Linked DNA regions of Notamacropus eugenii. The protein of the gene in region 1 purifies or fractionates together with the protein of each later gene. This does not show direct contact. Links are inferred from orthologs where the notes say so. Each region holds a gene or a part of one and is shown in the gene's direction. Other genes may lie near its edges.

Region 1 (7,297 bases):
ACCAGGAAAGCTGTAAAGGGTTATGTGACTAAGAGGTAATTGATGACTTTTGAGAAAAGAATTTTCCGTGAAATAGTGAGAGCAAAAGGGTTGTAAGGGGTTTAGGTGAAAATTAACTCAACAGGGTATGACCAAAACCAGGTAAACTTCATGTCACTATCCCCAGTGAGGAAGTCCATTTTGGCCTAAAATCTTCAGTCACTAATTCCCAGTAGCACAGGCTAGCAGTCAATGACCTTGTTTTAGATCACCAACTTTAGGTATTTAAAAGATTATACAACTGGAAGGGACCTTAAGATCATTTCATCTACCTCTTTTAACCCACAGAAGAGGAAACTCAAGGCCCAGAAGAGTAAGGCATGCATATAGAGCAAACAAGGAAGACCCAGGCACACTTTAGTGTCTGTACAAGATTATTTTTTTTCTATGCAGCATGGCTGATATGAAAATGTGTTTAATAAGAATGTATGTGTAGAACCCATATAAGATTGCATGCTTTTTGGGGAAGGAAGGGGAGAAAATTTAAAACTTATGGAAGTGATCATTAAAAACTGAAAACAAATAAATAAATTTGAAAAAAATTTACTATTTTATATCTCCTTTTTACAGTTTGTACACAAATGATACAAGGTCTAGTTATAAATATGTAATTTTTAAAACAAAATTTAATTTTAAAATTGTTGGTTTTGTTTCTTTAGGTTGTATGATGAATTTTTAAAAGTTTTTTTAAGTGAGTCCAATAACATTCAAAAAAATGTTAGCCTTAAAAACACAATAAAAGCCCCAGGTGCATGTCCTAGTTAAATGGGCTACTCATACATAGCTGATCTGTAGAGAGTCTACTGAGTCTCAGGCTGGTGATCTTTTACTGTATACATTTCCTCCTCATCTATAAGATGAGGAGCTTGTTTTAAATGCTCTCTACCACGCCTTCCAATTCTAACATTTCCTGTTTCTTCTCTTTCTTATGGATGTACATCTTCTCACATCCATGGCATCCATAGTGATACGCTAATAATAACTAATAGTTAAAATTGATATAGTGCTTACTATATGGCAGGCATTATGCTAAGAACTTTACAGTCATCTCATTTGGTCCTCAGAGTCAACACTGCAAGGTTCGTACTATCCTTATCCCTATTCTACAGATGAGGAAATTGAGGCAAACAGACATGAAGTGGCATGCCTACAGTCACACAACTAGTAAGTGTCCGAATTTTATTTTGAACTCAGGTCTTCCTGACTCCAGGCCTAGGACTCTATCCACCGAATCACCTAGCTAGCCCTAGAGATCAAAGATGGAATCTAACTTGATTTCTAGCCCAGGGGTGGGAACTTCAAGGCCACATGTGGCCCTCTGGGTCTTCAAGGGAGTACCTTTGACTGAATACAAACTTCACAGAACAATTCCCCTTAATAAAAGGATTTGTTCTGCAAAACTTGGACTCAGTCAAAGGAACCCAAGGACCTAGAAAGTCACATGTGGTCTCAAGGCCACAGGTTCCCCACTCCTGAGCTAGCCTGACCCTAAGCACAGAGCTAATATGAGTCAGACAAAAATGTTAATGGATGATATTAACCTGTTCTCGGGACAAACCTGAGGCTTCCAGAGACTTCTTCTTTAGGGCCCTCAATCATCATGGGCCAAATACCACCTGTAGGTCTCATGGCTAGAGTTTCTTGATTTCTTCTCAACAGCCAAACAAATCTGTTGCCTCTTCCTGCAAATATGACTTACACATTCCCACTTGTCTTGGCTTATGCCTTCCTCCATGCTGTAATGTCCTTTCCTTGTGCCTCTTGGATTCCTTTTCATTCTTTAAAACTCAGCTTGAGTGTCATCTTCCATCCACAAAGCTGTCTCAGGTAAGAGTGATCTCCCTCCTTTCTCTGAACTTCAGCAACTCCCATTTGTCTGTAACACTCATCGGTCCTGTATCATAAAGTACAGTGACTTTCACAAATGTGCTTACTAAATGCTTTTTCCATTCATTTGTTAGCTGTCTTCATATGGATATCCTTTGTCTCCCTAACGAGATTGCCTGTTCCTAGAAGAAAGGACCCACATGTGGGACATTTTTGGATACCTCCTGGAACTTGAGCGCAGGGCTCACTCTTGCATTTCATGCTTAATCAATGTCTTTCCCTTCCCCCCACAAGTATTTATTATGTGAATTTATTTTATTAGAACATTGTTTGTTCAATTAATGTTACTGTGAATAATGGCCAATTAAAAGGTGGAAACTGAGGTACATGGCTATTTTAGTGTTTTTGCCAACCGCATGGAGATGTTTTTTTGGCTGCTTGTTTCATGGCTAAATTCCTATGTTACAATGTTGACACTGGATTGAACTGAGGGATAAACATGAAACAATATTAACAGTTTCACTACATTTACTGCTTTTGCAAATGCTTTCCTCAGGCAATCAATTTCATTCTCACACAGCCTGGAGGCAGGGTTTATTATCCCCATTTTGCAGACTGGGAAAACCAAGGGTTGGAGAATAGATTTTCAGAAATTCATGTGGTTTTAGAGCTGGGACACACTTTGAAGATTATCTAACCCAACTCCCTCATTTTATAGATGTGAAAACTGAGTTTATCCAAGGCCAAGAGTACAATTTAGTCCTAGGAGTAGAAACCCAGTTGTTCTGACCTCTAGCTCAGGACTTTCCCCCCACTAAACCACAGCTGGGGCAGTGTTGACGTTAGGAAAGAGCTGAGAGTAGAGAGAAATAACCCAGAGCAACAGTAGCCTAACTAACAAGCATGTGTTAAGTCATCCACCGTGAGACCTCAGGAACCCCTGGAGCTGGTTAGCTGGCTATGTGGATTCTGCTCTCCTCCAGGCTTCGTGGCTCTGCACCCTCTTCAGGTTTCCTAGATAACTTCTCCCCCCCCCCCCCCCCAAGGATTTCCTGCTATAAAAAACATGCAAAGGCACTTGATGTGTTTGTGTGTGGGAGTTGATGGGGGGGGGGGCAGTCAGGGGGAAGCCAAGGAGACTAGGGTGCAATCTCAAGTCTATGCTTTTAATTTTGAACCTTGAATTCTGTGCTCCAGATCTTCTTCTATCAATTTCTTGTTCCCTTTAGCGTTGTCTTTCCAGTTCTCTGTTCATTTCTCATTTAATATAACTCTGAAAACCTAAATTTCCAGGGATTTCCCTCCCTAGATCTGGACACACGCTACTTTGGGACTCAAAACTCAAGAGCACTGACTTTGGAGTCAAAGGGACTGGATTCTAAACTCAGCTGGACTTGGTTGTTAGACCTTGAGCAAATTACTATCTTTCCGGGACCCTCAGTTTCCTACTCTGTAAACCCAAAAGACTTGGATGATTTCCAAGGTCCTTCAAGGTCTCACCCATTCAATTTAGACAGGTAAAAAGTGTAAGCATATACCTCTGTTTTCTGACTGCTCCATCCTAATTCCCACCTTTGAGGGATCTTTGAGACTCTGGGGATTTAAAATCAGGTCTCGAAGGGCAGATCGCAGTGCCACCTCTCCCCCATTTTTCTCGCGCCGCCCCCCCCCCCCCAACAAAACAAAACAGTTCGAAACGCTGGCTACATTTTACAGAGAATAAAAGAGAAATAGCTCGAACACAACTAGACTGCTTTAACTGGAGTAATGAGGGTCTGTCCGTGGGTCTGCTTTGGGGGACAGGAGGACAGGGCAGTCAGTGTGTGTGCGCAAATGCGCACCCCCGACACCCAGGTTCAGAAGGACCCTAGAGCGTTCTTCAACCGTAAGGACGCAACTTTAAAAACAAAAGTTTTCTCAAGTTGGTTCTCCCTGGGAAAGTAAAGGGGCCACGGTGCAGCCCCCGCTTTTTGTCCATTCTCCTCCGTTTCTCGGGGAGCTCCTGCATGTCATCAGGTGGCCCAAGAGCGAGGGACGTTGCAGGAAAAAGCAAGGGGGAAGCTGTGGGGGTGCGCAGGCTACGGCTTTCCCTGGGGAGAGCCGCCCCGCAGCACCCACGCCCACGGGGGGGGGGGGTGTTTGGCGTGGGCCCCAGGGCTGATCTCTTTCCTCTGGGAGCAGGGGGCGGAGCGGGCGCCACCGCGGAGGCCAGCCTGGAGTGCGGGCTGGGGGGCACGGAGGAAGGACGACGGGGCGGCGCGTTTGGGGGCGGCGAGGAGGGAGCCCCGGCGGGCGAGGGGGCGGTGACAGGCGCTTGGAAGGGAGGCTGCACGCCGATTTGCATGAGAGACAGACTGGGATCGGGGCGGGAGCCTGAGCGCACACACCGAGGCCTGGAGGGAAGTAGGGGAAGGGGCGGGAGGGGGCGAAAGGAATCGGGGAGCGCGGGGGGAGGCCGCGAAGGCGGAGGGATCCGTACATCCCGGCGAGCCCGCAGCGCAAACTTGGCTTCGTGGGCTGGCCTTTTCTTCCCAGAGGCGGCACCCAACAGCCGCCCCGTGCGGAAACACAAACTTTTCTCTGCTCTCGCCGCCGCCGTGCTTTCGTGGCCCTTTCGCACCCCCACCGCCCGGACTCTCGGCTCCCTTCGTCCCTCCTTCCCTCTTCCCCTTGAGTGCACCGGGAGGGGGAGGAGGAGGAGGGCGGCGGAGCCGAGGCCACCGCGGGCCCGGAGGTTGGCGGTGCCGAGGTCCCGGAGGAAAGTTCGCCGGGAGTCCGGCAGGGAGTTGGAGCGGAGTTTGGCCGGCCGCGGCCGGGCTCCCAGCCTTCTCTGTGTGCCTGCCTGCCTCCCCCTTCGGGGGGAGCCCCCTTCTGCCCCCCTCCACCATGTCTTCCATCCTGCCCTTCACCCCCCCGATCGTAAAGCGCCTACTGGGCTGGAAAAAAGGCGAGCAGAACGGGCAGGAGGAGAAGTGGTGCGAAAAGGCGGTGAAGAGCCTGGTGAAGAAGCTCAAGAAGACGGGGCAGCTGGATGAGCTGGAGAAGGCGATCACCACCCAGAACATCAACACCAAATGCATCACCATCCCCAGGTGAGGACGGGGTGCCCGCGCCGGAGCGGGAGCAGGGCACGGGCACCAGCACTGGCACGGGCGGCGGCTGCTTCTCACTGCCGGGCCTGGCCCGGCTGTGTGTGTTTGAAACGGGGAAAAGTGGGCGCGATCGAGGGCTCGGCGGCGAGTGTGAGTGTGTGTGTGCGTGTGTGTGTGTGTGTGTGTGTGTCTGTGTGTCTGTGTGTGTGTATGTGTCTGGGCAGGAGGGGGGGCGGGGGCAAGGTACCCAAACAAAACCTTTACAAAGATGGAAACTCTAGGATTTCCACGCGGCCCAGACCAGCCCGGGAGGGAGGAATTGGGGGACCAGTGGCGGGCGAGATGGACTGGGGTCCTGGATGGCTTGTGGAGCGTGGGGCTTTCTCTCCCGGGTGGCAGGAGGGCGGGGGTGGGTGCGTGCGGGCTGGAAGTTTGTTTGGGGCTCCGGCTTTGTTTCGCGCCCCTCCCCTCCGCAGCAGCGCTGAGCGATCCCGGCCTCGGCTCCCCGTCCTAGTAGAAGTGGTTCTGTCCGTCGGTCTGTCTCTTCCTCCCCTCATTTTTCTTTCCCTTCCGTCTTTTCTTCCCCTCTCCGCCGGCTCCCTCCCCCCCTCCCCCCAGGAATGCAGTCCGCACAGCGAAGGGAGGGCCTCCCCGGGCTGGGGTTGTGGGTGAGAAGCCTGGCCCCGTGTGATTGACAGATTCCTTCTCTTTCGCTCTCTTTGCATTTGGGATTCGTTTTTTTCAGGAGTATTTTTAGATTCAGTCCTGCCAGTTTGTGCCCTCCCCACCCCCCACACCCCCTCCGCTCCTGCACACGTACGGCTCAGATTATAATGCACTGACTTTCTAGAAGAAGGGAATACTTAGTATTGAACTTGTTTCTTTCTCTCCCCAAACTCTCCGCACTCACAGGGAAGACCAAGGGGCACCGGCAGTAGCCAGTCCTCGGGAGGGTGGTGTCTGTGTTTCTTTTTTTTTTTTTTTAAGTAGGATTCAGGGTGATGCAGAACTGTTTAGCACCCTGTGGAAGTGGAGTAGTTCTGATGACAAAGATGCCTACAAAAGCAGGCCTCAGCCAGTCTCATGCATTCCTACGGTGTCTTTATTTCTAAAGCACCTTCCCATCTGTTTATTCTCTACTATGCTCACAGCATCCCTAGGAGGGGAAGATGGGGAGGGTTTCACAGATGGCTTATAGAAAGGGTCAGTGACTTGCTCTGACTCCCTTGAGGCTGAACTCAGTGTATTTATTTTGGTAAATTGGAGGGGGAGGGTGGGTGGAGGTGGAGGAAGAATTCAAAGAGAAGGGAGCCTTTTACCCACTGCCTCTCCATCCCCTTTCTAGGGTCCATTCTGTTCTGAAGGAACTCTGGGAATTTGCTGTTGACTGGGTCTCCCCAGGGCTTTGATTTAATCCAGGTTACCTGGGCTTCCTTGGGCTTGACCAGCAGAGGACTCCAGTGTCCACATCGGTTCAGGGCCACTCAGCCCCAAGGATGTATCCTCTCACACCACCACCTGCCTTGGAGCAGCTGTGAAGGAGAATCACAGTGCCTGGGTATTTATCCCAAGCTGTCTTAACACTGGGGTCAGCCTTCACAATGCTGCATCTGTTCATGAGAAGCAACCCTCATTTGGAAATACCGATGAAGTTCATACTTTGACTGTTTTTTTAGACAAATATAGTCAGTAAGGAGAGAAAGAGGATATACTGTCTGTAGACCTTAGGTCTAGGGGCCAGCAGTGATTGAATGAACAGGTAGGTATGGTTTGATAACAGGCAAAACCTGAGTTTCAGTCCCAGGTTCTGTTATCTCCAGGACTCCTGGGTAATTACTTCTCCAGGAAGATTGATGGTACTCACCCACTCACCTGATTAGGATGTGTCTAAGCTTCTGCTGTAAGTGTAGAGGCTGGAAGAGATGCTTACAAAATACTGTGTTTCTTAATTGAAGCATTAAGGATTCCTAGAAAGTAACAATTTATGTAGCTTGTTGTCATTGAACTTTTGGGATCTGCAACCACCCTCCCCTACTGATTTTCCCTTGCCACTGTGAGAAGTTATTACCTGACTAATACTTGCTGTCACAGACTCAGGAAAACCGCATATTGCAACTGACTATCTAAACAAGACTGTTACTGGGACATCAGGTGTCCCAATAATGGTTGTGGGCAGAAAATTAAAAATGGAGGTAATTGGCTACAGGCTTAATCATAGCAGCGTGTCTGCCATAGCCCTGCATTAACCTGAATCTGCATGCAACTTGTCAAATTGTCTAGGGCAGAGGGGTTCTTAATCTAGAGTCTATAACCTTTTTGGGGGAGGTGGGGGGCTGTAT
Region 2 (7,368 bases), on another chromosome or scaffold:
TCAACACCAAAGTCCTTGGCATTGTCAACATCAGAAATGGATAGGATCACCAGTAGAAATGGCATGAAAGAATATATATTATCATCTGCTTCACATAAGGACCATAGGACCCTTCCATCTGAGTTGTAGTTGAAACCTCCAATAGGTATTTCTCATACATTAGAAGGTGAACTCGAGTAGGGACTGCCTTGCTTTTCTATTTGAATCCATAGCCCTCATCACAGTGCTTTGCACATATTAAGTGCTTAATTAATGTATCTTCATTCATTTATTTATTCATACAGTTTATGATTAAAGCCACAGAGAATAAATTCATCAAAGGAGAGAAATGGACCCTAGAACAGAGCCATGAGGAACAGGGGACATGAAATGAACGATGGATCAGGAAGGGAGAGAGCTATGGTTAGAAGAATAATGAAAGAGTAGTGTTAGGAAAGACCAGAGAAAAGTACAGGAAGAGATGTGAGTTCATTGTCAGAGGTGACTTGACACAAGGCAGAGGGTTATAGTCCAGAGGTTTTGGCTTCAAGGTAGCAGTCCATCAAGCCCTCAAAAGTGGTAAAGATGGTATGGAGTATGCTATGTTGTACATCCAGCTCTTCCTATTACTATTTCCATATTTTTCATGGGAATTCATATGAAAACCTGCTATGGTGGAAGGGAATATTAGAAATGGGAACAAATGAATAGGATGGTCACAACTATTTCTTCTTGGTGAAAATGTTTCTAAGGCAGAAGATATATTTTAACCTATAAACACATTATATTTACCCTTTCCAAAATTTGACCTCTCTCAGTATTTCCTGGGATTTCAGAATGAAATTCCAGACATTTGATTCCTTTGTGGTTCAATAGTTAAGAATAATCAGTGAGACTGAGCACTTGTTCTACTACTTATTAGCTACGTAATGATGAATAAGTAATCTAACCTCTAAGGATACCACTGTCTTTACTGTAAAATGAGGAAGAAGTTTGATTTAGATCCATTTAGGTCCCATAAGTCTGAGTGGCATTGTGGCTTAATGAATAGTGTGTTAGACTTAGAATCCCGAAGACTTGGGTTTGACTCCTATTTCTGTTATTCAGCTTTGCGAACCTAAGCCACTTAACCTGAGTCTGTTTCCTCATCTGTAAAGTGGGGATAATTCCTGTAGTATCTTTTTTTTTTTTTAAATTAATTTATTTTTAGTTTTCAACATTCACTTCCGTAAGTTTAAAATTTTCTCCCCTTCCCTCCTCAAGATAGTATGTAATGTGATATGGCTCCTGTAGCATCTATCTTACAAGATTGCTGTGAGGCTCAAATGAGATAATCTACTACACTTTGCAAAACTTACAGCACTATAAAAATGACATTTTAAAAAAATGGCCATTACTATGAACTCCAGAGTACCTGGAACAAGATGAGAATCTTTAAGAAGTCCCTTTCACAAATAGTTGACATAGTTTCATCAAGAACAGGTCATGCCAGAATAACCTCATTTCCTTTTTTGATAGGGTTACTAGACTGGTAGATCAGGGGAATGTTGTAGATACAGCATTCTTAGATATTAGCTTCACTTTTTATAGTAGCAAAGAAATGGAAACAAAGCAGATGCTCATGCATTTAGGAAAAGCTAACTAAACTGTGGTACATGAATGTAACCGAATATTACTTTGCTGTAAAAAGCAATAAACACGAGAGAAGCATGGGAAGACATGAACTGATGAAAAACTGGAGCAGAACCAGGGAAACATATGACTACAATAATTCAAAATGGAGAGAACAAAAGCAGCAGAACTGAATGCCCAAAGGGATATAAGAATATACCTCCTGTTATTCTTTGCATAGGTAGGGGACTATGCCTATGGAACATTATATAGTGTCAGATTTTTTCCAAGATGTTGGTTAGTTTTGTTGAATTAATTGCCATCCCTCTCATATTATTCTTATTATAAGGGATGGCTCTCTGGGAAAAGGAGAAGGGAGCCATGTATTGAGAAATGTTGGTGATAAAGTTATCAATTGAAATTTATTTGAAAACTTGAAAAAAAACATGAAGAATACATGGAGAAAACAAACTGATGAAGAGTAAAGGAAGCAGACAAGAATATACGATGATTATAACTTAAAGGGAAAGAATAAAAATAATTGAAACAAAAAGCTGTGACACTACAATGCCGAAACTTGGCCTCAGTGAATGAATGAAAAAGTATTTATTTATTACTTGCTGTACACCAAGCACTGGGTGTACAAAGAGAAAAATCAGTAAGGTCTCTGCTCTCTGGGAGCTCACACTCTACTTGGGGGATATTACACATAAAAGAAAGTTCATTCCTAAGGGTGCATCAGGCAGTGGAATGGCAAAGCTCAGAGGTCCTTAGGCTACATCTGTAGGTCAGAGGACAGCACTAGAGGTCTTGGAAGCATACCCAGTGATCCTCCATCTCACCATAAGAAATAGGATTGGTGACTTTCACCAAGGCTGCGTGAGCAGCCAAGTGGCTGGGATGGGATCTGGACGATCTGAGTCAGAGTACGGAAGCAAAGAGAAATCAAGCGGCAAAGCAGAGAAAGTACCAGGCTACTCCCTCCCCCCCCTTTGAAAACAGAAGTGGAAACCATGAGTGTGGACACCTGTACACCTTGAACCTGGTATGTCGGTTAGTTTTGTTGAAATGCTTTTTTTCTTAAAAAAAAATTCTTTGTTATAAAGTATAACTCTCCAGGAGGAGGGTGGAGAGTTATAGCAGGAATGCAGATAATATAAAAATATCAATAAAAATGTTTTCAAGTACATGACCATTCAACAAATAGGATTCTATTAAGAATTTTACCCCTGATATGAGTGCAGTGATTGGCTTTGTTTTCTCTATGTGTCTTGTTTCCAAAGGAAGTTTAAACTTTGGGAAATTCCCTGTCCCTCCAGAATGGCCTGTCAGGGCTGGGCCTGTTATTCAGCATAAAACGTTGACTATTCTAAGAGTCCACAGAATATTTGCTGAATGCATAATTCTTCATCATCGCCTGAATCCCAGAGCTGAACACACAGTAGGGGCGCCACAGTGATTTATTTACCTGCCTATGGCTGGTTTCGTTTATTGTTAAAGCATCCTAGATATGGCAACTTCCCGTCTATCTGGGGTTCTCCAATGCCAAAGAAAGATCCTTCTCGTTACCTGAGTACAAGCTAACGCACAATAGCTTAGCTGGGCACCGGGGAGAGGAAAGATTGGGATGAAATACAAAACACAGCCCGTGGCCTCCAGGAGGGTGCGGTCCGGTAGGGGTGCAAGACTCCGGAGTAAAGAGCCCTACTAACTTCCCATCAGATCAATGGGACTGGAGACGGCCTTCAGGAAGCCACGTGAGCAGCTAGGTGGCTGGAAGGGGGTCTGGACGGTCTGGGACAGAGAAGGAGCAGGGGCGGGGGAGAAAGCAGCCCGCCCCCCTATGGTGAGGAGCGGACGCCGAAGGGCAGCTTGAACAGAGGGGGCCCGCGGGGGGGGGGGGGGGTGTTTATCCAGCGCTCTGAGGCCTGCACACCATTCTCACCACACAGGCACGCAGGCTCTCCTCGGAGGAGCCCCGCGGCGGGTGGGGCTGAATTCAAGACTGACTCGTTCAGGGTCGCACAACTACTGCATTTGAACTCGGGACTTCGAGGCTCCACGCCCACCTACGGAAGCGAGTGCCGTGGGCCGGTCCCCGCAGCTTCCCCTTGGCACTCTCCCCGACCCCGCTACCAGCCCGCGGCCCCCGGCCCCCGGCGGGGCCTCTCCCCACGTTCTCGGGTGCAGTCGCTAAGGCTCGGCACGTGCGACCATAAACATGGAGGAAGCCCCTCTCCCGCTGGCAGGGTGCGAGGAGACCCGCAACATGGCGCCGAACAGGACGCCTCCCCGCCTCCACCTCGGGGAGCGACGTCAGCGGCGTCCTTTGCGTCTCCGCCTCACGTTCGGCGCAAGCACGCTCGCACGCACGGGCTGGGCGGGGGTTTAAAAAAAAAAGGCCGCGGGAGCGCGCCGGGGGGAGGGAGAGGAAGGTCGCCGGCGGGGGCGCGCGCGTCGCGAGGAGGAAGGAGAGGAGGGGAGGCGCGGCGGCGGCGGCGGCGGCGGCGGCGGCGGGAGCGCGCGCGGCTCCGGGAGGCGGCGGCGGCGGCGGCGGCGGCGGCGGCGGCGGCGGCGGCGGCGGCGGCGGCGGCGGCGGCGGCGGCGGCGAGGGCGGTGCTCGCTCGCTCGGCGGCTGGTCTCGAGCTCCGAGGAGGCGGAGGCGGAGGAGGAGGCGGTGGCTCTCGACCTGGGGTTGGTTGGGAGGGCGGGTGGGGGGTGGTGGGAAATCTGCTCCGCTCCGGGCTTGATCGCGGGGCCCGCCCCCTTTCCCCCCACCCACCCTGCCCCGCTGCTTGGAGTTGGTGGCCGGGAGGCTCGGACCCGGGGCTCGGCGGCCCAGCCTCAGCCTTGAGGAGGAAGAGGAAGGCAGGGGCCGGGGCCGAGGCGGGGGGCGGACTCGGACGGGCTGTGGCGGATTCTTCCCCCCCACCTCCCCGGTCGCGGGCAGGAGATGTCGAACCCCGGGACTCGGAGAAACGGCTCCAGCATCAAGATCCGGCTGACAGGTACGGGCGCGCGGGGGAGCGGGGGAGCCGGGGTTGGGGGGGCCCGGAGGGGAGGGGGCCCCCGGAGGGGCGGGGGGGGGCGGCCCCGCCGGACCCGCACCCCCGGGCCTCGGCGGGTCGTGCGCTGCGTGGGGTCCCCGGCATCCCCGGGCGGCCCGCGCCGTGGCTCCCCTCCCCTCCCCCGCCTCGGTGCTGGCAGCTGCACAAGTCCTGGCTCCTCGATTCACTCGCGTTTCTTCAATGAAATTTCCCTGTTTCCCCCGTCAGCTCCGTAGTGATCCCCATAGGGGTGAATGGGGAAGCCCTGGGGTGCGCATGCGCTGTTGCGGGGAGGGGGCGGGGTGGTGCCGGCGTCGGGGTGGAGGGGGGCGGTGTGTGGTGCGGACGGTGTCTGCCGCTGGCGGCCGTGTCTCCCCGGCGGGCTCCAGACATCCTGCGTCCAGTGTCCGGCCCCGGCATCCCTCCTCCCCCACCCCCGCGCTCCCCTCTCGGCACGCCGCAGGCCTGGGGTTCTTAACGCGGGATCGTTACTCCGCAAACAGATTTCTGCCGGGGGACTTTCCAAGCCAGAAGTTCTGTCCGATCCTGGCAGGAGTTTCCCCCTCTTGGTCTTTCTTCTGGTCTGTGGCACACGAAAGAAAAGCCCTCCAGTCTGTATTTGTCCAGTTCCTGTCAAAGGAGTGTGATTTAACCCCCCCCCCCCCCCCAAAAGAGGGAGGATCGAGACGAACGCCTAGCGTGGTTAGGGCATTTAAAAGTATTTGTAAAAAACATCTGTAGGTGATTTTTTTTAAAACCATATGTTCTCTTTGAAAACCCACTGTTGCCTGTTGTAGGATCTGTTTCCTGTTTAAATAAAAGGACTTGTGAGTTCTGTTTACAAAGCTGACAGAATAATGAATTATTAATGATTCAGGCCCAGACTGGGGTTTTGTAAGGCAACAGGTGTATCCTCCTGGATCTTTGTTCTTGGAGGAGCCATTATGCTGCACTCAGGCTAGGAGGTAAAGCACTTCTTCATATTTTTAAGTTGAGTTGTTTTTATGGGTGCGTAAAATGTCATGTTTTTGACGTTATAATACTTGTAAAGTTTAATTACAAGACAACTTTAATTTGCTTCCCAGTTACAACGCAATCTATTATAGCCATCAGATCAGTTACTCTTTTACTGTTAAGTGCATGTGTGTGTTTTGTTAGAAATGTAGTTGGGTTAGAGTTTTTGTTTCTGAAATAAACGTTTTACTTTTTTGCATTTGTTGAGCGTTTTTATGAATTGTGGCTGATGATCTTTGATTTGTACTTCTCTTTCCCACCCCCAAAGTATAAGAGAGAACAGGATTTGTCTTTCTGTTCACCCCACCCTTTCACCCCCATATACTGGTCTGTTCAGGAGTTTAAATGTGATAGCTGCAGAAATACTTTTAAGAGCTTATGGATGGCATTTGATATTAAAGGATTAAATGATCAGTATTCTTTCCAAAGTGCTTTCCCCCTCCTCACTCCCTGCCTAAATTGCTGAATACCTAATGGATTTGAGTCAATCTATGAATGTAATTGTTCTTGAAACGGGAATTGAGAGCTTAGTAAGAGTTGTGTAACAGACATGATGGCAGTTGTCTGTTGAACATTAACCCGTGTGAAAAAGTTGCAACTAAAGAGTGTGAAAATAAAATTGGTTTTAGTCTATTCTTAAAGTTAAGAAGTTTGAAATTTTTTCACTTCTGATTTATTGTGCATCTTGATACATTAAATGTTTTTGATAAAGAAGATTGCTTAGTTACTGCAGTGACATTTGAAAATATAGATTTTAGAGAGGTTTTTGTTAGTAAATAACATGCAGCATAATTAAATACAGACTATGAAGACATTAGTGTTTGAAAAGATATTTAGGACTTTTGACTGCAGAATTTTATGGTAAATGGAAAGTGTTTTGAACCAGAAGTGAAGGAGATGTTAATTCTAGCCCCAGGCCTAGACCACCTTTGTGACTTCTTTGGGCTTCATTTTCTTCTTCTGCACAATAAGGACATTGGACTAGACTGGTGGTGCTTAACTTTTTCTGATTTACCCTTTAGGAGTCTGTTGAAAACTATGAGATCCCTTTTCAGAAGAATGTTTTTTAAAACTGCATAGTATTACAAAGGAAGCAATTATATTGAAATAGTCATCAGTATTTTTTAAAGACGTTTATGAAGCATACATTAGGAATACCTAAATTAGACTGATATTCAAGGTAGTTTTCTGGCCCTAATAGTCACATTGTTACCTATTCTAAATTACTAGTGTATATGCGTTTTTGGTTATTAAATTCCATGCTCTCTAGCTAAGCTTTAAGAGAGAAAACTACACGATAACTTTTGGGACATGCAGAAAACTTTGACTTAAAGTAAGATATCTCAAATTTGACTTATGATAAACATAATTAAGTCTAGTGACAATTTCTAACCATTTTTGCCATGATAGTGAAATTTCTCAGTCTTGTATTTTTGAAATTGATTGTATAAATCCATTGTATGATGAATTTGCCTTCAAGGCATAATTTATAAATGTGTCCTGAATATTAGTGGATATCTTAATCCTTCATTTTTAGATAAAGATTGAAATAAATGCTGCCATAATTATGTTAGTTTGAAATAGTTTATAGAGGTTTCAGTAGTTCATTGAATATATTTGATACAAAATACTTGAATAATTGTGTGTTTCAAAGCATTTTGCAAATACCTTTCCCAGTTAAATTATCTCCTTGTAGTCAGGGATTGTTTTTGACTTT
Region 3 (6,964 bases), on another chromosome or scaffold:
ATTCCATTACATTCATATACCACAACTTGTTCAGCCATTCCCCAGTTGATGGGCATCCCCTCGATTTCCAGTTCTTGGCCACCACAAAAAGAACTGCTATAAATATTTTTGTACATGTGTGTCCTTTTCCCAATTTTATGATCTCTTTAGGATACAGACCTAGTGGTGGTATTGCGGGGTCAAAGGGTATGCACATTTTTATAGCCCTTTGGGCATAGTTCCAAATTGCTCTCCAAAATGATTGGATCAATTCACAACTCCACCAACAATGCATTAGTGTTCCAATTTTCCCACATCTTCTCCAGCATTTATAATTTTCTTGATTTGTCATGTTATCCAATCTGATAAGTGTGGTGTGATACCTAAGAGTTAATTTGATTTGCACTTCTCTAATCAATAGTGATTTAGAGCATTTTTTCATATGATGATAGATAGGTTTAATTTCTTCCTCTGTAAACTGCCTTTGACCATTTATCAATTGGGTAGATTTGATAATCTTAAAGAACAAATTTGGTTCTGAATCTATGACCCTATGAATATATGGAAGCCTCCTGATGTAATGGAAGGAACATTGGCCATAGAGTCAGAAGGCTTGGGTTCAAATTCTTATTGTCTATATGACTCGGGGCAAGTCATTTCCTCCTTTCTGAGATTCAATATTCTTTTCTATAAGTTAAATTTGGACTTGAGGACCTTTAAGATTCTTTGCAGAATTATATGGTTCCATGAGTGGCATGAATAGCAATCAGGTGACCAGGATTCTAGTTCTAATTTTCTCAGTAAATCTCATCTTTTCTTGTTTCTTCAATCTGTAAAATGAAGAAGTTAGACTTCAGTCCCTTCCCAGCTCTACCATCCTGTGTTCTAAGGGTCCTCCCAGCTCTGACATCCTGAGTTGTAAGGGTCCTCCCAGCTCTGACCTTGTGTATTCTATGATATGTAGTAATGTGTATACCTGAAGTACAGAGATAAGGTAAATAGTTCCCTTCTAGGTTCCATCCATAGCATTGTATCCATATGAAGGTAAGCTCCTTGTTTTAGACAGAAAGCTCTGCCCCTATGAGACCCCACTGTCGGCCAGGAAGCTTGGTTTGGGGCCTTCGTGTTAATTGCCTAATCTCCTGGAGTGACGGTACATGCCTGAGATGCTCCATCGATAGCACATGGAACACCCATCAATTTCTCAACCACATAATGACCCCCCTTCCTTTGGACGAGTAAGTAAACTTGGTATGTTTCAAATTTTCAGACACACCCATGGAAAATGGGGTCATTAAAGGGAAAAGGGGGGAGGGGAAGAAAAACCATAGACCTTTTTATGGTAAAGAATATGTTCTCTCTTTCATGTGGGGCCAGGAACCTCCTTGGAATGGAGCTGAGGAACAATAGTAGCCTTTGTAGACAATTGCACCAACTCTGGCCCATGGGCCCCTTTGGCCCAGGTTAGAGGGAGCTGGATGGGCACTTTCATGGAAAAATAGCTCCAACAGGGACTAGAGTTTCTGGAAGGGCTTTTGGCTGTATTCTGGCAATAGAGGGTGTCGGGAATGCCCATGATCCTGAGATGGCCACAGCTCAGGAGACGGGTGGCAAGTTCCAGGCTGGGGAAGGCCCTGGACAAGGGTCGGTGCTTGGGCTAACTGCTTCTGAGGGCCCTGCTGTGATGCCCGGTGCTCAGCCGGCCGACTAAGGTTCTGAAACACTCCTCCTCCCCTTCCCTCCTCCTCACCCCATTCTGGGGTTCCAACCTCTGGAAGCCAGTTAAAAGTGTGTGGTCATCAACAGCTGCACATTCTTATTGGGTTACATCACCAGCTGACAGTGCACATCGTAGGACTTGGAAACTGGCTTGTGGTGGGCAGGGGGTGGGCCAGGGGTAGTTAAGACCAAAAGTCAATTTGAAGAACATAGATGGCTTTCCTTTTTACTCTGAGGCTGGAGGAAGCCGTAGTATAGACTCCAGGCTAGACTTCTGACCTACCCATCCACCTCCCACCCCCAGGCCCTGGGTACATTACCACCTCCCATGTCAGCATCCTTTACCCTCCTCCTGATAACCCTGCTGCTCCTCACCCTCCCATGCCCCATCCTCAGGATTCCAATCTTCCCCTGGGCTAACTGTAAATTCATCATAGATCCATAGACCAATAATAGAACTGGAAGAGAATGTTAGAACTGAAATGGACCTTAGAACATAGCAAAGAAGCACTCATTTCTGGAACATTCACAGGCCAAGAAGTCCCCTGCCATGGGGTTCTTGTGCTTGGAGAACGCAGAAATAAGGAGCAGCTTCCCAGACCCAGACCCAGCTGGACAGACAACTCACCCAACCAGATGGTTCAGAGTCCGAGCATACGGGTGAGGTGTTCCATGGTATATACTGTCCTGCAAATATGTGTGTATATGGGGATTGGGTGGGGGTAGGGGAGCCAACAAAGCTTCTCCCTACAATGATAATCCAAGTCAGTGGAGAAACAAAGGCCAGCAGCCAAACCGGGTCACCAAGATCAGAGCCTGCCTACCAACAACTCTTACTATGTTGTTTAGTCATTTCAGGTGTTTCTGACTCCTCATAAGCCCATTTGGGGTTTTCTTGACAAAGATACTGGAGTGATGCATTTTCCAGACGAAGAAAATGAGCAAACAGGATTATGTGACTTGCCCAGGGTCACACAACTAGTAAGTGTCTGAGGCTGGATTTGAACTTAAGGAGATGAGACTTCTTGACTCTGGACCAGGTGCTCTGTGCACTGTGGCACCGCCTAGCTGCAGAGGATAGCAGAGTCTTGACCACAGTTTTGACATTGTTCCTTAATGAAGTCCTTCTGTCATTAACCACAAGTCCTTTTCAGCTGCTGCCTGTGAGTGCACCTAAGGTGCTCTGTTGATCCTTCCCCCATTCCAGTGTGCTTTCCTGATCCTCTTCCCCTCTGGCTCTTGTCACAAAATGTGTGCCCTTGTTAACTAGGACAAGAGGTAGGGGTAGGAATAGAGGAAGAGGAGGGGGAGTAAATGCTGACCCTCAACCTCCTCGGGATCTTCTTTGCCCACCAGTCAGAAGACCTTCAGGGTTCTCAAGTCACTCTGTTTAGTGAATTTCAGAAAGGAGATTGAGTTTATCTGGGCTCCAGTCTCACAACCTGAACTTTGTGGAGATCAGCCCAACTGGTGTGTTTCCACACCAGTCTTCTCCTTGTCCCCTTCCCACAATGCCACTGGAATACAACCTGGCTATCCATTTATTGTGTGTATAAGGAAGGCCCAGCCACTTTGCAAGAACTATGAATGGTGGAAGGGGGAAGGAAGGGAGGGGGAAGGACGGGACACCAGAGACCAGCCCTGAGCACTGTTTATATTGCGGCATATGCTTTGAATTTTTACTTAATACTAATTCATATAAAACCCCCGTCAAGAGCCACCCATCCACACATATGGAAGTGGTCTCACCAGTAACAATAGTCAGACGCAAAGGCCCAGGGTCGGCCCTGCTGGTGGGATGAGAGTTGCACCACAGACAAGTGGTGGGTGTGGGAGAAGGGCCAGTTCAAGGGAGAAAACCTCTTCGTGCCCAGGGATGATGACTTCCATCAACCAATTAGCTATCCACATTATTCTCAGCCCAGGCAGGAGGACACTGTCATTAATTAAAAGGGAGGATGAGAAAAAAATTCTCCTTAGCTCCACACCCCCTCTCCACCATGTTAACTGTTTTCAGAACAGAAAACTAACTGGGCCAACAGTATAGGCTGCTCTTTACCAACCAACACAGAAACTATCTTTTTCTTTTTTTTTCTTTCTTTCTTTTTTTTTTTTTCAAAAGAAGAAGGAGCCACAGTGAGATCCAAGGGCCAGGGTGACGTTTTGGGTCAGGTGACTCCCCCCGGGCCAATGAGCCCGTGTTGGGCTAAAGGCTTTTTCAGCCTGGGGAGCTGAGGTTGGCTTGACACTCTGAAGGCCTCTTCCCCAACCACAGAACCACAAGCTGGGAGTCCTCTGCCATCCCCAGGGGTACCTGAGTTGGGGGGAAGGTTGGCTTCTCTCCACACCCTCATCCCCACTCCCCTGCTCTGGGGAGGGGGGGACCTAGCCTTGCCTACACCTCTCATAGGTTGGGGAGGGGGTGTCGCTCTGTCTGCCTTTGGGGTAAGTTTCATTCATTCCTCTGAGCCCTGGCCCCCAGCCTGTCCTGCCCGCTCCTGCTGTGGGTCTCCCCCCTTGCTGCCCGCTGCTGCCTCTGCTCTCGCCCCTTCCATCACTAATGATAGTCTGCATATACTTCTGTTGAACACTCTGTGGCCAGACATTCCTGTGGGACTGAGAACCCAAATTCTTGGGTACAAATAGGCATTAGTTTCCTCTGGGATCTCTCTTTTTTTTTTTTGCTCTCTCTACTTTTTTTTCTTTCTTGTTGTCCCCCTCTCCTTCTTTCAAATTATTTTCAAAAGTAGCAGAAAAAAATAAAACACACACACACACACACACACACACACACACACACACACACACACACACACACACACACCAGTTCCAACCCAACCCCCTTCAAGGACTGAATTCTTGCCTTCCTCAGACCAGAGCATGGCGTCCAACAGTATCTTTGATTCCTTCACGACCTACTCGCAGCCCTTCATTCGCGGTGAGTAGAGAAATCCCTACGTAGTCACTGGCTACCCGATGCCCATTGCCCACTGCAGGGGCAGGGGTATAGGGGGAACTTTGGGGCGGGAGTGAGAAGCTGGGTTGGCTGGTGGGCATTTTTCTACCTTACGCTGGCTTTTCTGAAGGTGGTCCGCCACTGTTCCTTCCCAACTCAATCCCCTCCTTTCCCTACACTTCCTTCCCCCTACCCCTCACTGCCACCCCAAAGACAGGACAGTTGATTCTTGGAATGAATTTCTTCTGTTGAACATTGGGACCCTCCCCTTGGAGAATCTTCATAGATGACCTGAGAGATATTCTTAGCCTCTCTGTGGGGGTAGGGGGCCGCCTTTGTCCTCAGCCTATGGGGGCTGAGAGGGGCTAGGCCATGGCTGTTTGAAGGGTGGGTGGTGACTGCTCAGTATCTCAAAGACAATATTCCTGGAAGGGTTCCCCTGGCTAATTTGGGAGTAGGGGGAACCAGTGTCCCCTCACCCACTGACTGTGTTCACAAGACCCTTCACTTTGCTCTGGCTTTTGGGGCAAATGTTGTCCTGATCTGGCCAGAGAAAGAGGAGAAGGGAGCTTGGCCTCTGGGTTTACCTGCTAAGGACCATGAATGTCACAAACTGAGACTGGGGGACTGGATTTGGGCTTTCAGTGAAGCCCTCTGGAATATCCCAGGCCCAGTTCTAAACAAAGCAGGGATGGTGTGAGCTGTGAAGTCAGGTGATATTCCTAACATTTTCGTTTCAAGGATTATCATTCTCAGGGTAGGAAATAGGGAAAGGAAGACACCCAGCGACTAGCTGAGAATTCAGGTGGCTTCTTGCTTAGGTGGAAGGGTAAGAAAATAACTTCCCCTATGAGAGATCTGCGGTCTCTATTGCTGGGCAAGGAGAAGGTGTATTTCTATAGAAACTCTGTCCAGCATCTGCCGAGGGCAAGAGCAGCAAGGGGGCAAAGTTGCAAATATACATCTTGGAGCATGGTGGCCCAGGCTGACTCCTACCCTTGGGTTACCAGGATCCGACTGTTGGCTTCCCCAGAGCAGTCCACTGGACGGAGACCTACTGATGTTTCTGATGGACAAACCATCCTAGAGAGAGAGTCCTCTCACCTTACCATGCTCAACCATAGCTGCTAGTTTTCTCAGAAACTGTCAGAAGCTTAAATGATCACATTCAGAACCGTGTGTGTGTGTGTGTGTGTGTGTGTGTGTGTGTGTGTGTGTGTGTGTGTAATGTGAGGTTCTGGGGGAATGGGGATAGGCATACTGGCCCCTCATTGTACTGATCAATGTTATACAGGAAATAAGTCCATTCCAGGATCATAGAATGTCAGACCTGGAACTTGAGAACACAGAGTATCAGAACTGAGAGGAATCTTAGAACACAGACTGTCAGAGCTGGAAAGGATCTTAGAATCCAAAATGTCAGAGCTGGGAGGGTTCTTAAGACACAGAGTTAGAACTGGACCAGACCTCAGACCACTCGGCCCAACATCTTCATTTTACAGATGAGGAAACTGAACCTCTAGGAGGTTCTATGATTTGTCCAGTGTCTGTGTCCCAAAGGTGGAATTTGAACCCAGGACCTCAGACTCCAGAGCTCATGTTCTTTCTGTAACAGCATATAAGAAGAGACCCTAAATATAAAAGAGCTTAAGATATAGACTATTAGAACTGTACAAGATCTTTCATCTCTGTAAGATCTGTGGGACACGGATATTCAGAACTCAGAGCCCATCTAACTCAATTTCTTCATTTTATGGACAAAGGTATTAACTAGGGATGTTGTCCCAGCATACCCAGGGAAAGGGCATCAGAAGGGAGATTTGAACCCACATCCTCAGATTCAAGCTAGTGTTCTTTCTGCAATAACATTTTCAAAAGCACCTTCAAATGTAGAATGTCAGAGCAAGAAGGGACCTAAGGCTATAGAATGTTAGAACAGAATGTGAGATCTGGACCTTGAAAAAGAGACTATCCGAGCTGAGAAGAATTCAGCAAGTGGGGAAACTAAGGCTCTTTAGAGGAGGCTTTGGGAAACAGACTTTGTTGGCTAAGCTAAGACTTGGACTGTCTCCTGGTTGCCTAGCTAGTGTTCTTTATATTACAGTAGAAATCGCTAGTAGACTTGGGTCCACAAGAGTAGTGACTTGGAGGCCAGCTGGAGGTCACACTACCATTCCCTAGTTTGTCCATCTGTGTCCAACCAGCCTGCATTTCACTGAATCCAGTCATTTGGTCTTGTGAGTCAAATCCCAGACTCCATCTCTAGAAGCCAGGCCCAGGCAGGACAAGACTCTGGGGCCAGAGGAGAGG
Region 4 (7,923 bases), on another chromosome or scaffold:
GACCATGACATTAAGGAGGTGATGCCATAACATGCAAATGAACTGGATTTAAACGACAGAGGCCTCTGCAAAGTCACCAGCCTCATTTTCTCCTCCAGAGCCATCTGGGTCCAGTGGCAAGATATAGATCAGGACAACTTGAGATGGCCCTGGATGTTGTTGGAGATATTGGTTTTCTTAAACTACTTCACTCAAAATTCAATTTAGTGATGGATGATAACATTAAGGGTGTAGGAAGAGGAGTCAATAGAGAAGCAGAGAAAGGTAGATCAAAAAGGTAGAACTAGAGAGGGCAGAGTCACATAAGACAAGGTATAAAACAGCCTTAAAAGTTTCAGAATAGTCAGGTAGAATGAGGAGAAAAGATCATTGTTTGGCAATTAATTGGTAGTGACCTTTAAAAGGGTAATTTCAATAGCGTAGTAGAAACCAAGGCCAAATTACACTAAGTTGAAGAATGTGTAGATGGGGAGACGTAGAGGCAGGGAAGGTAGAATACTCTTTCCAGAAGTATGGCCTTGAGCGGGTACTATATGCTTTAGAGTGGATGAAAGCAAAATAGGAGTTAATCATGCTTGCCTTAATGTTAATATTATACTATTGGGGATGATAACAAGGTGTTAAACTAACTGTAAAAATTCAGACTAAGCCAAGTGATTCCTTTATGAGGTACAAATAAGTACCTGAGTGAATCAGAAGGGAGCAATTATACTGGAGAATTAGGAGTCATACCCCAGGGTGACTCTTAAAAGACATAGTCCAGTTAGTCTGAGGTACTTCAGGCTTTCTGATGGCTGCAGTGGACAGAAAGTTGGGCTTGGAGTCACAAAGATTTGAGTTCAAATCAGGCCCCTGTCTGCCTCAGTTTTCTCAACTGTAAAATGAGGATAATTACAGTACTTACCTTATAGGATTATTGTTGAGGATTAAGTAAGATAATATTTGTAAGTGTTTAGAATTGTGCCTTATACACGCTTAATAATTATTTGTTCCCTTCCCTTTTCCCTTCTTGATAGCAAGATTGCTTGGAGTATAAGGAGTATCAGTACAAAAGCCATGTTAATAATCTGTAAAGATCACATATAGCTAAGGATACTAACTCAACCAGCTCAGGGTTGACTGAGTGTTCATGCCTTTTACTACTAAGAAACCTCACTGGAAGGGTAAGTTCACTCTTATGTCATAAAATTTCCTCTGAGCCCTTGCAGCACACAGGCCACCTTCCATTTCTCCAACGAACCACTGAACCATTCAGGGCAATCTAAATGGATGTCTTCATATACCCTCTCTCTAGGACAAGCAGATTAACCTTCCCAAAGACTACAACTCTAAGGTGGTAATCCTTTATCTCCTTTTCCCCTTGGGCTCCCTAATGGAAGCTCAAAACCTCTCCCCAGAAAAGTCTGTTTACTTTTCTATATTTTAAATATTAAAAGAGAAGAGGAAAAGAGATCTAACATTGAGATGGGTGCTATCTCCTCTGGCTGGTAGCACCTAGTCATAAATACTAGCGAGTTATAAATCCTTACATCCTTTCCCAGAACAGATTGGGAAACCCATCTACACAAGGCCAATAGGAGGAATAAAGGAAGTAAATAGGAGTGGTTGAACAATCTTAACTCAACACTGCTATAACTCTCTATGTTTTCTTTTTCTTCCTAGTTTTGAATAAATTTTAGTTTTAAAGTATGTTTTTCTTCAGTATATATTTTTATAAACTTCAGCTCATTTGAGGATTTTAGCCTTCCAGACTCTAATCATAAGCAGTTACCGCTCTTTAGTAATTTTATTTATGTGTCCCTATCGTTCTAGTTAATTTCTGAGAAAGCAAAAGTGACAGGATCTCTTGAGGAAACAAGGACAGGATTAATTTCCACATCTTCAACACAGTGAAAATTGTCCATCTTTTGGCATACTTTTTCTTGGAACTCAGAAGGAGGAAGCTCTTGGGCCATATAAAGACTTATCTGAAACTGTTTATCCTCCTTCTCAAAGAGGACCATGACATCAGAGAAATGATGACATGATGTGCACTTGACTTTGTTTTAAGTGAGAGAGGGCTTGCAAGGTCACCAGCCTCACTTTCTCCTCCTGAGCCATCTGGATCCAATGACCAGATCTTCCTCAGGATGACTGGAGACAGCCCAGAATGCAATGGGAGACCTTGGCCTTTTAGGCTAAGGCCTTTTCAGTACTCACTTAGAGTGAGGTGATGCTCATTCAGTTGAATAGACCTGTATCTGAAACTACCTTCTTGCATTACACATAGAATCCTTGTCTTTCAGTTCAAAGGCAACTTACATAACAACTCCATGTTCAGTTTAACTTTTACCATAGTGGAAGATTTGAAGAAAGGTCTTCCGTGGTTCCAAGGCCAGCTCTCTAAACATTAATTATTGTTTGTCCTTTGTTCTCAAAGAGGACCATAGTATCAGGAAGGTGATGCCATGACTTGTAAGTGAACTGGATTTAAATGAGGGAGGGCTGTGCAAAGTCACCAGTCTCACTTTCTCCTCAGGATCCAACTAGAACCAGTGGCAAGAAATAATTCAGGATGACTGGTGATGGCCCCAGATGTAGTGGGAAACCTTGGTCTTTTTAAGCTAAGGGGTTTAACGGGTCTCAGTTTGACTGAGGAAATGCCCATCCAGTGAATAAGGCTAGGTAAGAAATGAGACAAAATATGGCCTCTTTTGCCTAATTAAAAAAAAAAATCAATCTGGGAAGGGAAGAACCTCAGGGTTTTTGACCAAAACAGAAACAAATTCTACTTACATTTACTCTGAACCAATCAGGACCCAAATAATGACCACTAAGTGGGGCCTGGGTTAGGACCTACTGTCAGCCAACCAATGAGAACCAGAGTGAATTGGGTTTAAGGTATGGTCATTAAGAAAGAAATCTAGCACCTAAATCCCAAGATATCTTCAGAGGTTTCAAGGATCAAAATTTATATTCCTTTGTGTAGAGTACCCAGAAGTGAGGGTATAATACCCAAAATGGACAGAGGGAAAAGGAAGAAGGGAAAAGAAGGGGAGAGGAAAACAAGAAAGGAGAGGGTAAGAGCTGTCTTGCTCAACTAGAACTGATCAGTTTGGTTCAGTGGGCAGCATGTACTATTCACAGTTTTGTCCTTCATTAGGAAGAGGATCATAGCACCAGGAAGGTGATGCTGTGACTTGCAAGTGAATTGCATTTAAATGAGGGAGGGCTGTTTAAAGTCACATAGAATCTTTTTTTTTTTAATTCAAAGGCAATTTATATAACAGCTCCATATTCAGTTTAACTTTTACAGTGGTGGGAAATTTGAACTCAGGTCTTCCTGGGTCCAAGGCCAGCTTTCTAATATACTAATATCGTAAAACTGAATCACATCTTTGTAAGGAAGAAAATAAATCCAAGAGCTTGGAAACATCCCATTAGACCTCACTTGCTTTGTAATGTAATAAAATAATGATAATAATACTAATCATGATAGCAAACATTTATATACTGCTTACTATTTGCCAGATCCTTTGATAAGTGCTTTACAAGTGGGGCTCAACCAGAGAATGCATTTTGCTGCCTCCAACAATCTTCTTATTTATCTATGCTAGCCAGACTCTAGTGCCTTTTTTGCACTGCTTTCATCATCCTGTTTGATGACCACTGGTCAGGAATGCTGGAATAAGGACTTGGCTGAATAAGATGGCTACTTGTGTCTTTTTCAAACGAAATTCTGTGATTCCATTACAAGTTATAAAATTTGCACAGTCACCTAGCCATGACATGGCACTAAAACATGCATATGTATCTCTGTTCCAGACATGGGATAGATACTATGTAGCTAAGGCAAGTTTGTAACTATTTTCCTCTCAACATGCAAAAACAATACATTTCTAGTCCCAAAGGTTCAGATTTAAATCCTCAGGGACCGGATGAAATGGTATTCAATTTAAAGGTTTTCCCTGAGAAAATATTTTTTGGCAGAAGCCCAGTTCTAAGTATTCTCTTGCAGTATTCAGGGGATGGAGAAAGCAAGAATCAGTGGTTTTCAGGGCAAACTTGCCGGTTGTTTACTCAGTGGAACAATGGTTTACCACCTTCAGAAAGTCCCTGGGGGAGAGGGGATGGTACGAGCTCAGGTTCAAGGCTCCTCTACTCCCAGAAATTCTTCACTCATAAAGTTCAACCCTGGACACCTGCTTCCAGAGGAGTAAATGACCAAAAAACGGTTTCTGCAATCTTCTCCGAATTATAACCACAATGAAATCAAAGCCTTTAAAAGATTCTCAAAATCAGATTCGTTTAATTCGCTAGCCTTTCAAAAATAAACAAGGCTGGGCATCTCAGACCCAGGGGTATTTTTCAAAAATGTGGATGGGGGGCTGGCAAAGGAAATTTGTGGGTTCCTTACAGTAGGTTGGGGGCCTGGCAGCCTTGACCTTAGAAAAGCAGGTTAGCTCTCGTCCAGAAACTCATCAGTCCTCCTTTTCTGATTCTTCCTTCTCCCTCCCCTTTCTCCTTCTCCCTCCTCTTTTTTCCTCTTCCTCCTTCTTTGGTAAAAGGCCCCGGCTGGGGAAGTAACGTTTTCTTGCATTAAAAAGACAGAAAAAAGCTAAGGTCATCCATGAAGGGAAGGAGAAAGTGTCCGGGCTACGGGAGACAAAGAGAGCCGGGGCTGCCGGGCGGACCCTCCCCGTCCTCCTCTCGAGGGGGTCGGCCGAGCCCGGCGAGGGGGCGGCGGTCAAGGTGCTCTCGAAGGCGCAGCCCAGGGTCGGGCGCCGGAGTCCGCGCACGCCCCCCCAAGCCGAGCCAGCCCCCTCCCCGGAGATGCGCGCGCCGACCGTCCGCGCGCTCCCCCCCTCCCCGCCGCCGCACCTTACGTGGGCCCTTCCCGCTCAGGTGAGTCCTTCCCACGCCTCCCATTGGCCCAGGCGCCGCCGGCTCGGGAAGGCCAACGCCGACGGGTCTAGTTCAGGGTCTAGGGTGGGCGCGTCACTTCCGGTAGCGCGGAGCTTGTAAAACACCCAAGAGAGAAGATGGCGGCTGCAGCGGCGGCTTCGGCGGCTCAGCAGCTCTCGGATGAGGAGCTCTTCTCTCAGCTCCGCCGTTACGGCCTGTCTCCCGGCCCGGTGACGGAGAGCACCCGGCCCGTCTACCTGAAGAAGCTGAAGAAGCTCCGCGAGGAGGAGCAGCAGCAGCCGCCGGCGCCGCCGCAGGAGCAGCAGCCGCCGCCGCACCGGACCGGGGCCCGCAGCGCCAAGACGCGGAACAGCAACAACAATAACACGGCGGCCGCGGGGGCGCCGCCGGGGGCGGGGGCGGGGGCGGCCGCCGCCGGCGCGGGGGGCAGGCCGCCGCCGGGCGACCTCTCGTACCTGCGGACCTCGGCGGCGCTCGGCCGCGGCTCGGCCTCGGCCCCCGATAACCCGCCCGGAGCCGCGGCCGCCCCCGCCCTGGCCGGCGCCGGCGGCGGCAGCAAGGTGCTGCTGGGCTTCAGCTCGGACGAGTCGGACGCCGAGGCCAGCCCCCGGGACCAGGCCAGCGGCGGCAGGAAGGAGCGGGCGGCCCTGCAGTCCCGCGGCGGACTCAAGCCCGCGCCCCTGGCCGACGGCGAGGCGGGCCCCGGCCAGCCCGCCGAGAGGAGGAAGCCGCACGCGTGGTGGGGGGCCCGGAGAGCCGCGGCCGGCCCGGACCCCCTGGGGCCGCCGGGGAGAGAGGGCGCGCCGGAGGACGCAGAGGAGGGAGCGGACGGCGGCGGCGAGAGGGAGCCGGAGGGCGAGGAGCTGCGCTGGAGCAGCCGGCCCGTGAACGGCAGCCGGCTCCTCCCCTTCAGCTGCCGGGAGAACTACTCGGACTCGGAGGAGGAGGAGGAGCAGGACAACGTGGCCGTCGCCCGGCCGCTCTTCAGGGACGACTCGCTGCTCCGGTCCCGGCCCAGGCGCGGCCACGGCAAGCCCCCCGCGGGCTCTCGAGGGGAGGCCTCGCACCCCGCGGCGGCCGGCGGCGGCTGCCCGGGAAATGACAGGGCCGCCGGCGGTCTAGACCGGAGGCGAGGTCCGGAGGAGGGAGGGGGAGGCGACCCGCTGGACTGCAGCCCCATTCCCAGATACCGCCTGACCTCCAAGAAACAGCCCCCACTCCTGCCCTCGACCCTCCCCGACGGGGATCTGGCCCTGGATCGCAAAACTAACAACCACATCGGTCGGGGGGGTTTCCACTTGGACCCCTCCAGGGTCTACGCCAACAGCCTCCCGCACAACCCTCTGATGGGCTCAGCCTCCTCCCCCTCGCTCAGGATCAATCACTCCAATCACACGGGCTCCAATCATACCTACCTGAAAAACACCTACAACAAGCATAAGCTTTCAGAACCGGAGGAGGAACTTCTCCAGCAATTTAAACGGGAGGAGGTGTCCACCACGGGTGGCTTCAGTGCCCACTATTTATCCATGTTTCTCTTGACTGCTGCCTGCTTGTTTTTCCTGATACTTGGGCTCACCTACCTCGGCATGAGAGGTACTGGAGTGTCTGAGGACGGGGCACTCAACAGTAAGTATTGGTCAGTGAGTAAGACCTCCCTTTCCCCTGCCCCAGTAACCCATTTTGTAGTGGGGGCATCTTGGGATAATGGAAAGGGAGTTATTGGCCTTGGAGGCAGCCTGGGTGACTTAACTTCTCAGAGCGAGGTACATGTGGGAGGAAGGTGCTGATCTGCCTTGGCTGACAGAATTTCCTTCACCAGGAGTTCCGTGCACCAGTGAAATTCACAGGTCCAGGCCCTAATTCCTAAACATATTGTAATTGTCATTTTACTTTAGGTGACTCTTGGATCAGAAACAAGGTTTGAAGTTGTGAACATCAAGTTGTTTGTCAAACGTTATATTTATCTTACAGCCTGCCATTGGAATGTGTTAACTTGTTTGGGTTTGAAAATTCTTTATCTACAGATTATGCAGGAGGTCCAAAACACCCCAGAAGAAGAGCAGAGTCACCTACACGATATAAGTAGTATATTCAGTGGTATAATGGAAAGAACAATGGATTTGGAGTAAAAAAAAAAAATCTGAGTTTAAATTTAGGTTATGCTTTTTGCTTCCTGTGTGATCCATGGGTGAGTCAGGTAACCTCTCTGACCCTCAGTTTTCTTGTCTCTGAGATGAGAGGTTGGACTCTGACTTTTAAGGACCTTTCCAACTTTAAATCTGCTTTCTGTTTTGAACTGTAATATACCTGCTTTTGGTAGATGGAATTTTAAAAATAATTGGCAAGTGTGTCTTACTTTGTGGAGCATCTTATTTATCCCGAAAACTTCCTCTCAGATTGAGACATCAGTGCTCTTTTAAATGTATTAAACATGAGATTCACTAATATGAAAAATAATACTTTAATGGAGAATAGAAACAGCATACCCACCTATGTGAATTTCTGGAGTTAAGAATGCATCCCCTCCTCACCTGGGATGAGTGCTGTTGATAAATACAGTTACAGTCATTTGCTTTTTATAATGAGATTTTTGGCTCTTACACTAAGCAGTTACTATAGTATGATTTATGCTCATTCTAAGTAGCTCTGAGAGCATAATTTCTGGCTCTTTAGCAGGGTGATTAGTGAGGCTTTTTTGGAGATGTGGTGAATCATTTCCCCTGTACATTGTCCAGAAAAATTACTAGCAAATCTTATATTGGGTTATAGGATCATAAATTTAGAGCTGGAAGGGACCTTGGTGGTTATTAGTCTGCTCCCTCATTTTACAAATTAAGAACTAAGGAAGGCCCAGAAAGGTTCAGGGTTACACAGCCTCTGATTTCCAATCCAGCACTCTTTTTGCATGCTCTGAAAGATTAGTGCTTGACTTAGAAACATTTAGATGTTGTTCCCCAAACTGTCAACAGTAATTGACTTCTGCTGTGGTATTTTGGAAGTCAATTCAACGATTGT

What was found.
Region 2: the proteins of SMAD3 (region 1) and SMURF1 purify together in Homo sapiens (affinity purification with western blotting; 3 studies listed by BioGRID). This does not show direct contact. The link is inferred for Notamacropus eugenii from reciprocal best matches to the Homo sapiens genes SMAD3 and SMURF1.
Region 3: the proteins of SMAD3 (region 1) and RUNX3 purify together in Homo sapiens (affinity purification with western blotting; 3 studies listed by BioGRID). This does not show direct contact. The link is inferred for Notamacropus eugenii from reciprocal best matches to the Homo sapiens genes SMAD3 and RUNX3.
Region 4: the proteins of SMAD3 (region 1) and LEMD3 purify together in Homo sapiens (affinity purification with mass spectrometry; 3 studies listed by BioGRID and IntAct, counting the BioPlex papers as one, with this or other methods). This does not show direct contact. The link is inferred for Notamacropus eugenii from reciprocal best matches to the Homo sapiens genes SMAD3 and LEMD3.

The regions. Positions count from the first base shown.
Region 1 is NC_092872.1:129,940,988-129,948,284, forward strand, and holds the start of SMAD3 (mothers against decapentaplegic homolog 3), read left to right. Parts: upstream 1-4,296; 5' UTR 4,297-4,752; coding exon 4,753-4,958; intron 4,959-7,297. UniProt on the Homo sapiens protein: Receptor-regulated SMAD (R-SMAD) that is an intracellular signal transducer and transcriptional modulator activated by TGF-beta (transforming growth factor) and activin type 1 receptor kinases.
Region 2 is NC_092874.1:380,144,729-380,152,096, forward strand, and holds the start of SMURF1 (E3 ubiquitin-protein ligase SMURF1), read left to right. Parts: upstream 1-4,354; 5' UTR 4,355-4,543; coding exon 4,544-4,598; intron 4,599-7,368. UniProt on the Homo sapiens protein: E3 ubiquitin-protein ligase that acts as a negative regulator of BMP signaling pathway. Mediates ubiquitination and degradation of SMAD1 and SMAD5, 2 receptor-regulated SMADs specific for the BMP pathway.
Region 3 is NC_092876.1:65,622,410-65,629,373, reverse strand, and holds the start of RUNX3 (runt-related transcription factor 3), read left to right. Parts: upstream 1-3,954; 5' UTR 3,955-4,578; coding exon 4,579-4,636; intron 4,637-6,964. UniProt on the Homo sapiens protein: Forms the heterodimeric complex core-binding factor (CBF) with CBFB.
Region 4 is NC_092874.1:241,937,671-241,945,593, forward strand, and holds the start of LEMD3 (inner nuclear membrane protein Man1), read left to right. Parts: upstream 1-4,917; 5' UTR 4,918-5,021; coding exon 5,022-6,534; intron 6,535-7,923.